2 linked regions of the Rattus norvegicus genome follow. The main gene of each other region encodes a partner of the protein of the gene in region 2 in a complex. Links are inferred from orthologs where the notes say so. Each region holds a gene or a part of one and is shown on either strand. Other genes may lie near its edges.

What was found. Proteins that work in one complex are often made in the same cells at the same time.
Region 1: the proteins of Musk (region 2) and Dok7 are in contact, whole or in part, in a crystal structure (PDB 3ML4), measured with the Mus musculus proteins. The link is inferred for Rattus norvegicus from reciprocal best matches to the Homo sapiens genes MUSK and DOK7. Residues at the interface, in NP_035074.2 of Mus musculus: Leu547, His548, Pro549, Asn550, Pro551, Met552, Tyr553, Gln554, Arg555; in NP_001335203.1 of Mus musculus: Leu154, Ser155, Asp156, Leu157, Arg158, Arg159, Tyr160, Gly161, Gly172, Thr173, Arg174, Ser193, Asp197, Val200, Arg201.

Annotation. Positions count from the first base shown.
Region 1 is NC_086032.1:79,914,015-79,917,666, forward strand, and holds part of Dok7 (protein Dok-7), read right to left. Parts: intron 2,878-3,652; coding exon 2,647-2,877; intron 1,102-2,646; coding exon 901-1,101; intron 1-900. UniProt on the Homo sapiens protein: Probable muscle-intrinsic activator of MUSK that plays an essential role in neuromuscular synaptogenesis. Acts in aneural activation of MUSK and subsequent acetylcholine receptor (AchR) clustering in myotubes. Induces autophosphorylation of MUSK.
Region 2 is NC_086023.1:77,940,614-77,944,265, reverse strand, and holds part of Musk (muscle, skeletal receptor tyrosine protein kinase precursor), read right to left. Parts: intron 2,975-3,652; coding exon 2,711-2,974; intron 1,193-2,710; coding exon 1,017-1,192; intron 380-1,016; coding exon 356-379; intron 1-355.

The DNA.
Region 1 (3,652 bases), on a different chromosome or scaffold from region 2:
GCAAGTCTGAACTCCACAACATTGTACGCAGCCCCCATAGAGAGCAGCATAGGGGGAGGTCACTGGAGCACCTCACTTCTGGTATGAAAGGCCTCCCTGTCCTCCAAACACCAACCACCTGCCGAGCTCCCATCCTGGCTACCAGAGGCCAGCCCATCGTGGCTGTTGCATGGCGACCTCTGCACTCACCTCACCCTGGTCACTGTGAGTGGAGACAAGCATGGTGTGGCCCTGGGGACTCGGGGTAGGACCTTTCCACCTCCCAGGTCAGATCCACCCTTCCCACCCTGCCTCGCTGTTGACATGCAGGCAGCTCTGGGCAGCACAGCAGTCATGGCAGTTGGTCTGTCTAAGGCACTGCTTCTCAATCTGAGTATTTTGACCTGGTTGGGGATTGAATGACCCTTTCACAGGAGTCGCACATCAGATATCCTATATATCAGATATTTACATTATGGTCCATAACAGTAGCAAAATCACAGCTATGAAGAAGTAACAAAATTAATTTTATGATAGGAAGTCGCCACCACAGGAGGAACTGTACTAAGGGGTCTCAGCGTTAGGAAGGTTGGGAACCACTGGGCTGTTGGACTTTTGGGTCAGTGAATGTACTTCTCTAACTGTGGCATCCACAGGACCCCAGTCATGCCCCACACTGACCTCATACACAAGCCATAGAGTGACATGAAGCTGCTCTCTGGGGTTTCCCAGGATCCCTCAAGCTCCCTCCCATCCCCAGAAACAGCCAATGGGCAAGTCAATGCCTGGCTTAAGCAACTGCAGCCCTGTTGCTTGGAGAAACAGACTACAGCCTCCCGTCAGGTGCCCAAGCCAACATGCGTAGGCCAATCAGCTCAAGTGTCCCCAGTGTCCCCAGTGTCCCCCACACAGCATACTTACAGTACCCACACCTGGTCCCGCCTTCAAAGATGAATCCATTTGGCACAGCCCCATAACGCCGGAGATCAGACAACTTCCACTGCCCCGTGACAGTTGGAGGGATGTCTCTGGCCAGGACCAGGATGTCATTGCAGAGATGAAGAGTGGCTGGACCACTCTCCAGTTTGGTGCCAGGAGCTACCGTCACATGGAACCGATGCACTGAGGACCAGACAGCGGAGAAAAGGGCATTACCGGGGTGAATGAGCTGGGAGGAGATGATCAGGCAGGGGCCATGCTCTCACGGCCACTCAACCAAGAATGAAGGACATATGCCGGGAAGTACTAAGCTGTCAGAGGGCCCCACTTATATCCCACCCATATTCCAGGATCTTCCCTAGCCAGAAACAAGCAAGTTCTCTGAGGAGACTGCCCAGCTCTGAGGACACTCCTTGTGGCCCCTTTCCATCAAGGCAGCCAATGTGCTCCCATTTCAGAGATGGGAAAGCAAAGTTCAGGAGTGGAGTATGTTTCATCCTGTGTATAGACTAGGAGGCAATGATTGGCAGGTCTGTCTGGGACTAGCATGGCTCAGAGGCAGCTAGATGCCATAGTTATATCTACAGTCAGTGCAGCCCTTTGCCTGAAAGCCCTTAGGGAGCACAGCCAGAATTCCAGCCTCCCTTTCCCCCCATCTCTTAGAGCACCCCACTTCATAGGTCTCTCCCTGTGAACCACAGCAGCCTCTCCCTGTAGTACCCACGTGCCAGCCTCCTGCCCACTTCATATCCAGACCCCAGAGCCAGAGGACCCTAGCAATGACGTCACCTTGTCCTCTTTCAGCTGTGGCCTTGGGTTTGTCCTGCAAGCCCACCCTTCTACAGGGGTCTGTCCAACCACATCAGCTTTCTCTTAACATCTACAGAGGGACCTGGGAAGCCCACCACATTGTTGGGAGGACCCCTGTCCTGCCTGAATGGGGGTGGGGGGTGCAACCACGCTATGAACCAGCGCCAGAGAACTCTCTAGAAAGATGAGAGCTTCTAGCAAATATTGCCTGCCCTGTACCTTCACTGCACTGTCCACACCACGACTCTAGGCTAAATAAAGGTCCACCAGGCTCTGCTGTTCTTGGATGGATGAAAGCAAAGCTTCCTCCTCCACTGCCTAAATCTCAGCATGGGTAGGCAGCGGGCAATGTGTTCATTTATCACCATCACCATCACCACCATCACCATAATTATCACTACTGTTGACACATCATTGTATCATCACTGTGAGGGGGAGGGGGAGGGGAGGGGGAAGGGGGGAGACATGTGGGAATGCAGATGCACACATGCCACTGTGTGCCTGTAGAGATCAGGGGACAATTTTCTGAAGTTGGTTCTCTCCTTTTACCCTGAGGCCCTGCAGGTCAATCCCATGGCTCCCATGGGTCCCTCAGCATGGGCTCTGGGATAGTACAGAACAGGTGCCACCCAAAGGGTGGGGTTAGGGAGTGCCCTTACTTAAATGGCTTGGGCCAGCTTGGTTAGCTAAGGGATCCAGTTTTGACAGGGTCTTTTAGGGACTTCAAAGAGCCTCTGCACCGAGTTCATGCCTAGCCCTGGCCTGAGTACCCATGAGGGCCTGCCTGGCTTTTACTCTGAGACATCTACCCGTGTGCATCATTTCTACAAGATTCCCTGGGTCCTTACTCATCTCTGCAGCCCACAGTGGTGACGGACCCTGGGGCCTCACCTCAAACCCCACCCTTGCGGCACTCACCCTCGCCCAATGCATAGCGGATACGAGTGTCCCAGGCACACATGGCCTCGTGGCTGTCAAAGCCCAGCATGATGGCCTGAGACAGGCAGATGATAGCCAGGGTGTGGGCCAGGCCCTCATAGGGCAGGGCAGGCTCCAGGCCACAGATGTCCTCCAGGGTGAGGCTGCTGCGCTCCCGCAGGCCCTTTGAACGTTCACACCTGTCCTTGTAGACCAGCATCAGCAGGCAGTCTGTTCAGACAGGCAAGAGGTCATCAGGACGCTGCCCATCCTGCTCACTGCCCTTATCACTGTTCCTAAAAGGCCTCATCACTGCCTTCTAGGGCTGAACAAATGACTTACCCACCCCACAGGACAAGAACGAGCCTTGGGCGTGTGGAGCTTACCGGGTGCCCATTCCATCAGGTCACTGGGCCCACACATAGCCCCATGCTTCTGGCCTTTTGCCCAGCCTGTGTAGTGTGATGTTCGAGTCTAATCTGGCTATAGCAGAGAGGACTGAGTCTTCACTCACTCCCAGGCCCTCCAGAGAAAAGGTATCTGGGAATTTCACCCAAAGCACATTTCTCATCTGCCTTGGAGTTGTAAACACTGCCACAGCACTACACCCCAGGGGTGCCGCTAGGGAAGCTAGGTAGGCTAGCACAAGCTATGCTCACACCTCCTGGCCCTCCAGACACCGTCAGCCTTAGTCAGAAGGACCCCGAGAGTCAGGCCTTCACACCTGCAGCACTTGGACCTCAGGGCCTACCTGTTGGGGAGGAGGTAGGACTCATGCACCCAATCAAACACCTAAACACTTTTCATTCAGGGCAACCCCAAATAGCGGGTGGTGCTAAACCAAGGGAAGACTGGAGAAAGCCCCACAAGGACCTCAGCGCAAAGCCAGACCGTCCTGCAAACAGCATCAGCAAACCTACACAAGGACCCAAATCCCAGCCATGACTCCCAAAGCCTCTGTGGTTTTTCCTTCCTTCCCTAACCAAAGCCTGAGAGCCAGGATCAT
Region 2 (3,652 bases):
AATAGTATTTGTTTCCATCCAGAAATAATTACATAATACAAAATTGTGACTGCAGAATCAGAAGGCTACATTTAAACTGGACTGAGTTTGCAAACATATGAAGTATAAAACAGGCCAGCCATCTTGAGATAGAAGATAGTATTTGTTCCCCTCACTAAGTGTCACACATTCTCCATGTTCTACTTAGAAGCCAGAAGCTAAGGGAGTGGATGAGCTCAGTCCGACACTTGTGCGCAGGCGCTAATGATGCTCGCCCAGTACACTGTGTTCTGGATTTAGAGAAGCGTAGTATAAATATACATGCACGAATCCACTTACAGACACAGATTTCAGAGGCACAAACAAAATTACTTACTTGTTATGTTTTCTTTTTTATAATCTGAGGGGGAAAGGATAAAAATCGATTTTAAGTAAGTGTTAAGATACATACCTCCTAGACCCTGTGAGCTATAGCTAAGAAACACGGCTTTCCCGCTCAGCATTTAAATGAATGACAGACGAGCGTTCAAATGTGAAGAGTGCATCTTTGAAATTAAACCAGTCGTCATGCAGTGGCTCAGTTGTATTTGATGAGGTCAGCATTTTCAAACATGTGGCTTATTTCTGCATGCTTAAAAAATCTGCATCGTTGGCTAAGGAAGAGGATTATTTATTCCGTTACGCCATTCCCCTGACAAACTGTAAGATGTTTCCTAGCCGTTTTTGCATACATTCCAGAAAACGATACACTTGTAAGATCCAGTAAGAAATAAAGCAAGATCCAAGCAGCAGTTAAAAGTGCCCTTTAATTTATTTGAAAACAAGTGAAATGAGTTTTTATGATAACCTATGCAATTAGGAGAGCATTATGATTCTGCTATTTTGTGTGTAGAAATGGCAAAGCAAAAAATATTATTAGAACAGCCTAGAAAGTCTAAAAATGTTAGGAGCTTTAAGTATATACCTTAACGTGGCTGAAAACAGTAAGAAAAAAAAATTTCCTTAACTTCCAAAGTCTGGAGGAAATTCTTTGTTACCTAAATACGGCAGTCTTGTGCAGGCTGTGGGGTCCTGGTGCATGCTGGGAAGCTTGCTGCACTCCGGGACCGGGAGGAAATGCATCCCGGATCTGTAGAGTCCGCGGTGGGTCTTCCCTTCCATTGCCAGCCATTCCTTTGCACAGAAGAGCTCCTTTACTGCCAAGCAGTACTCTCTAGAATGTAAGGCGAGCAAGACTTGATGAATCATGACGAGTTGAAGCCAAACTTGCAGTGGGGCTTAAATTTTGTATTTTTGAAACATCGTCACATTGTAGTGTTTCCCTTATAAAAGCATTTTTGAAATGACTATACCTTAAATAATGCAAAACATTAAAGACATGGTGTATTACGCTGTGAAATTAAATACTATCTTGTTTAGTGTTTTTTTTTTCAAATTTAGAATGAATTAGATAAGAGTCCTGGTAGATCTTCTCTCAAAGTTCATATTAAAAACAAAGGAGCAGGTGCTGGAGAGATAGCTCAGAGTAAAAGCACTTGTTTGCTACCCTTGCAGAAGATCAGGTTTAATTCCCAGCACCCATGTGGTGGCTTGCAATCACCTGTAACTAGCTCCAGGGGGGTGCAAAAGGCACCTAAATGGTGCACATACATGCATAGAGAAAAACATTTAAACACATAAAATAGAATAAATAAGTAAACCTTAAAAATAAAGATACAGAAACCGGGGTTGGGGATTTAGCTCAGTGGTAGAGCGCTTGCCTAGCAAACACAAGGCCCTGGGTTCAGTCCCCAGCTCCGGGGGAAAAAAAAAAGATACAGAAACCAAGTTGACAATTTAAAGAACATACGAACTAAGGAAGAGAAGCCATCACCTCTGGGCTGATGGGCAGAGCTGGAGAAAGGAGCAGGCTACACTTAGAGGTTCTGCCTGCGTTGGTCCCTGAAAAACGGCACCATCTCCTGTAACAGCTGACAGGGGCGCTTTGGGTTCCTTAGCCAGCCCTGCCCTGGAGAAGCAGAGCCCCGCCCTCAGTGTAGCCCTTAGGTTTGGAGATGTTGTGTAATGAGTGGAGCAGCTGAAGAAAGACTGAATGGGCTAACTAAAATCTGGACGTTAATGTCTATTCGAGTGTTCTAGGACAAACTACATCAAGAGAAACCTGGGTAATTCCAAGTTAAGATTGGTAGGCCTAATAATAAAAGGACGATAACTTAAAAGGGAAAATAATTAAAGTACTAAAGGGCTTGGGTTTAGCCAAGTACTGACACACACACACACACACACACACACACACACACACACACACACGAACACACACGTATTCACTCACATACACACTAAAATACATTACATGCACATACACATGTGCACATGCACACACATACACACAGGGAGGGGTATGACAGGGGTCCTATGTCCTTATAAAGGAGTGAGTTTTACTTGTGTGTGCATACATATGCACACGTAAGTCACAGAGCTTGTTTGCGGTATACAAGACAACTTTCTGACTGACCCAGACTCTAAGATTTTCTGTAAGTTCAGAGCATTTGTATCATAGATTGCCCTCAGTGGTTATAATGGGAGGGATTTCATGCTTTAATTATTTCTTTTGGGCAAATGGCAAAATTTGTCTGACTTTCCGCTCATGGCAATTCCTTCTTTGGCAAACTGTTGGCATACAGTGAGGCAAAAAACGCATTTTTTTACTGGCTCATTTTCAAAGTTTTACCTGCAAATGGGCATAGGAGTAGGTAGCACTCCAGAGCTGCACTCCTGGAAGAGGTGATTACACAGCAGAGCCTCGGCAGCTGGTCGGCAGAGTGGGCTCACAGCCTTGAGTTCATTCCACGCAGTGTGGATCAGCAGCTCTTGGGCCTCCTCAGGGTCGGGATAGGAGGTGTTGAAGAAGACAAGAGAGTCTTTCACCAGGACGGCATCACACACCTCCCCTCTGTACTGGGCACAGTAGCCTTTGCTTTCTTTCTGTGATTTGCTGAAAGAGGTGATGAAGGGCAAAGCCAATCGTCAGCAATTTCTTGGCATCCATTACACACACACACACACACACACACACACACACACACACACACAGACATACACACACACACACAAAGACACACACACACAAAGACACACACACACACACACATCACAGAAATAGAGAGACTGTCCTGACAAATGTATCGAAATGTTTCTTATGAATATTCTCTCCATTTCTGGCACCAACCCGGTCATCTCTAGACACCTCAGGCTGTGGCAAAGGCTGTGGCAAGCTTTGGAAATGGTCAACAGAGTGAATTTGGGCATTTTTGTTGTTTATGTTATACATAAATATGATTGTTCTAACTGCAGTCAGCTCACATATTTCCTGCACATAAACTGGTATAATCCAAGGAAAGCATTCATCCCAGCGGATAACAGACGAGAGAACAGAACAATTGCTCCCACGGAAAAAACTTAGCTTTAAGAACGGTCTGTTACTGCAGTGCTCAGTACATTCCCATGTGGGCTACGTTGTCACTTGTTTATTGGGACAGTGGTGACAATCCTTACTGAACATTTGCTTGTGAGGCAGTGTCATGGTTCACTATATATTATAGTTTCCGACAGACCTCTATCATTATCTGGATGGGAAACTTAGATCATTTTTCTTATTTAAATGAATACTATT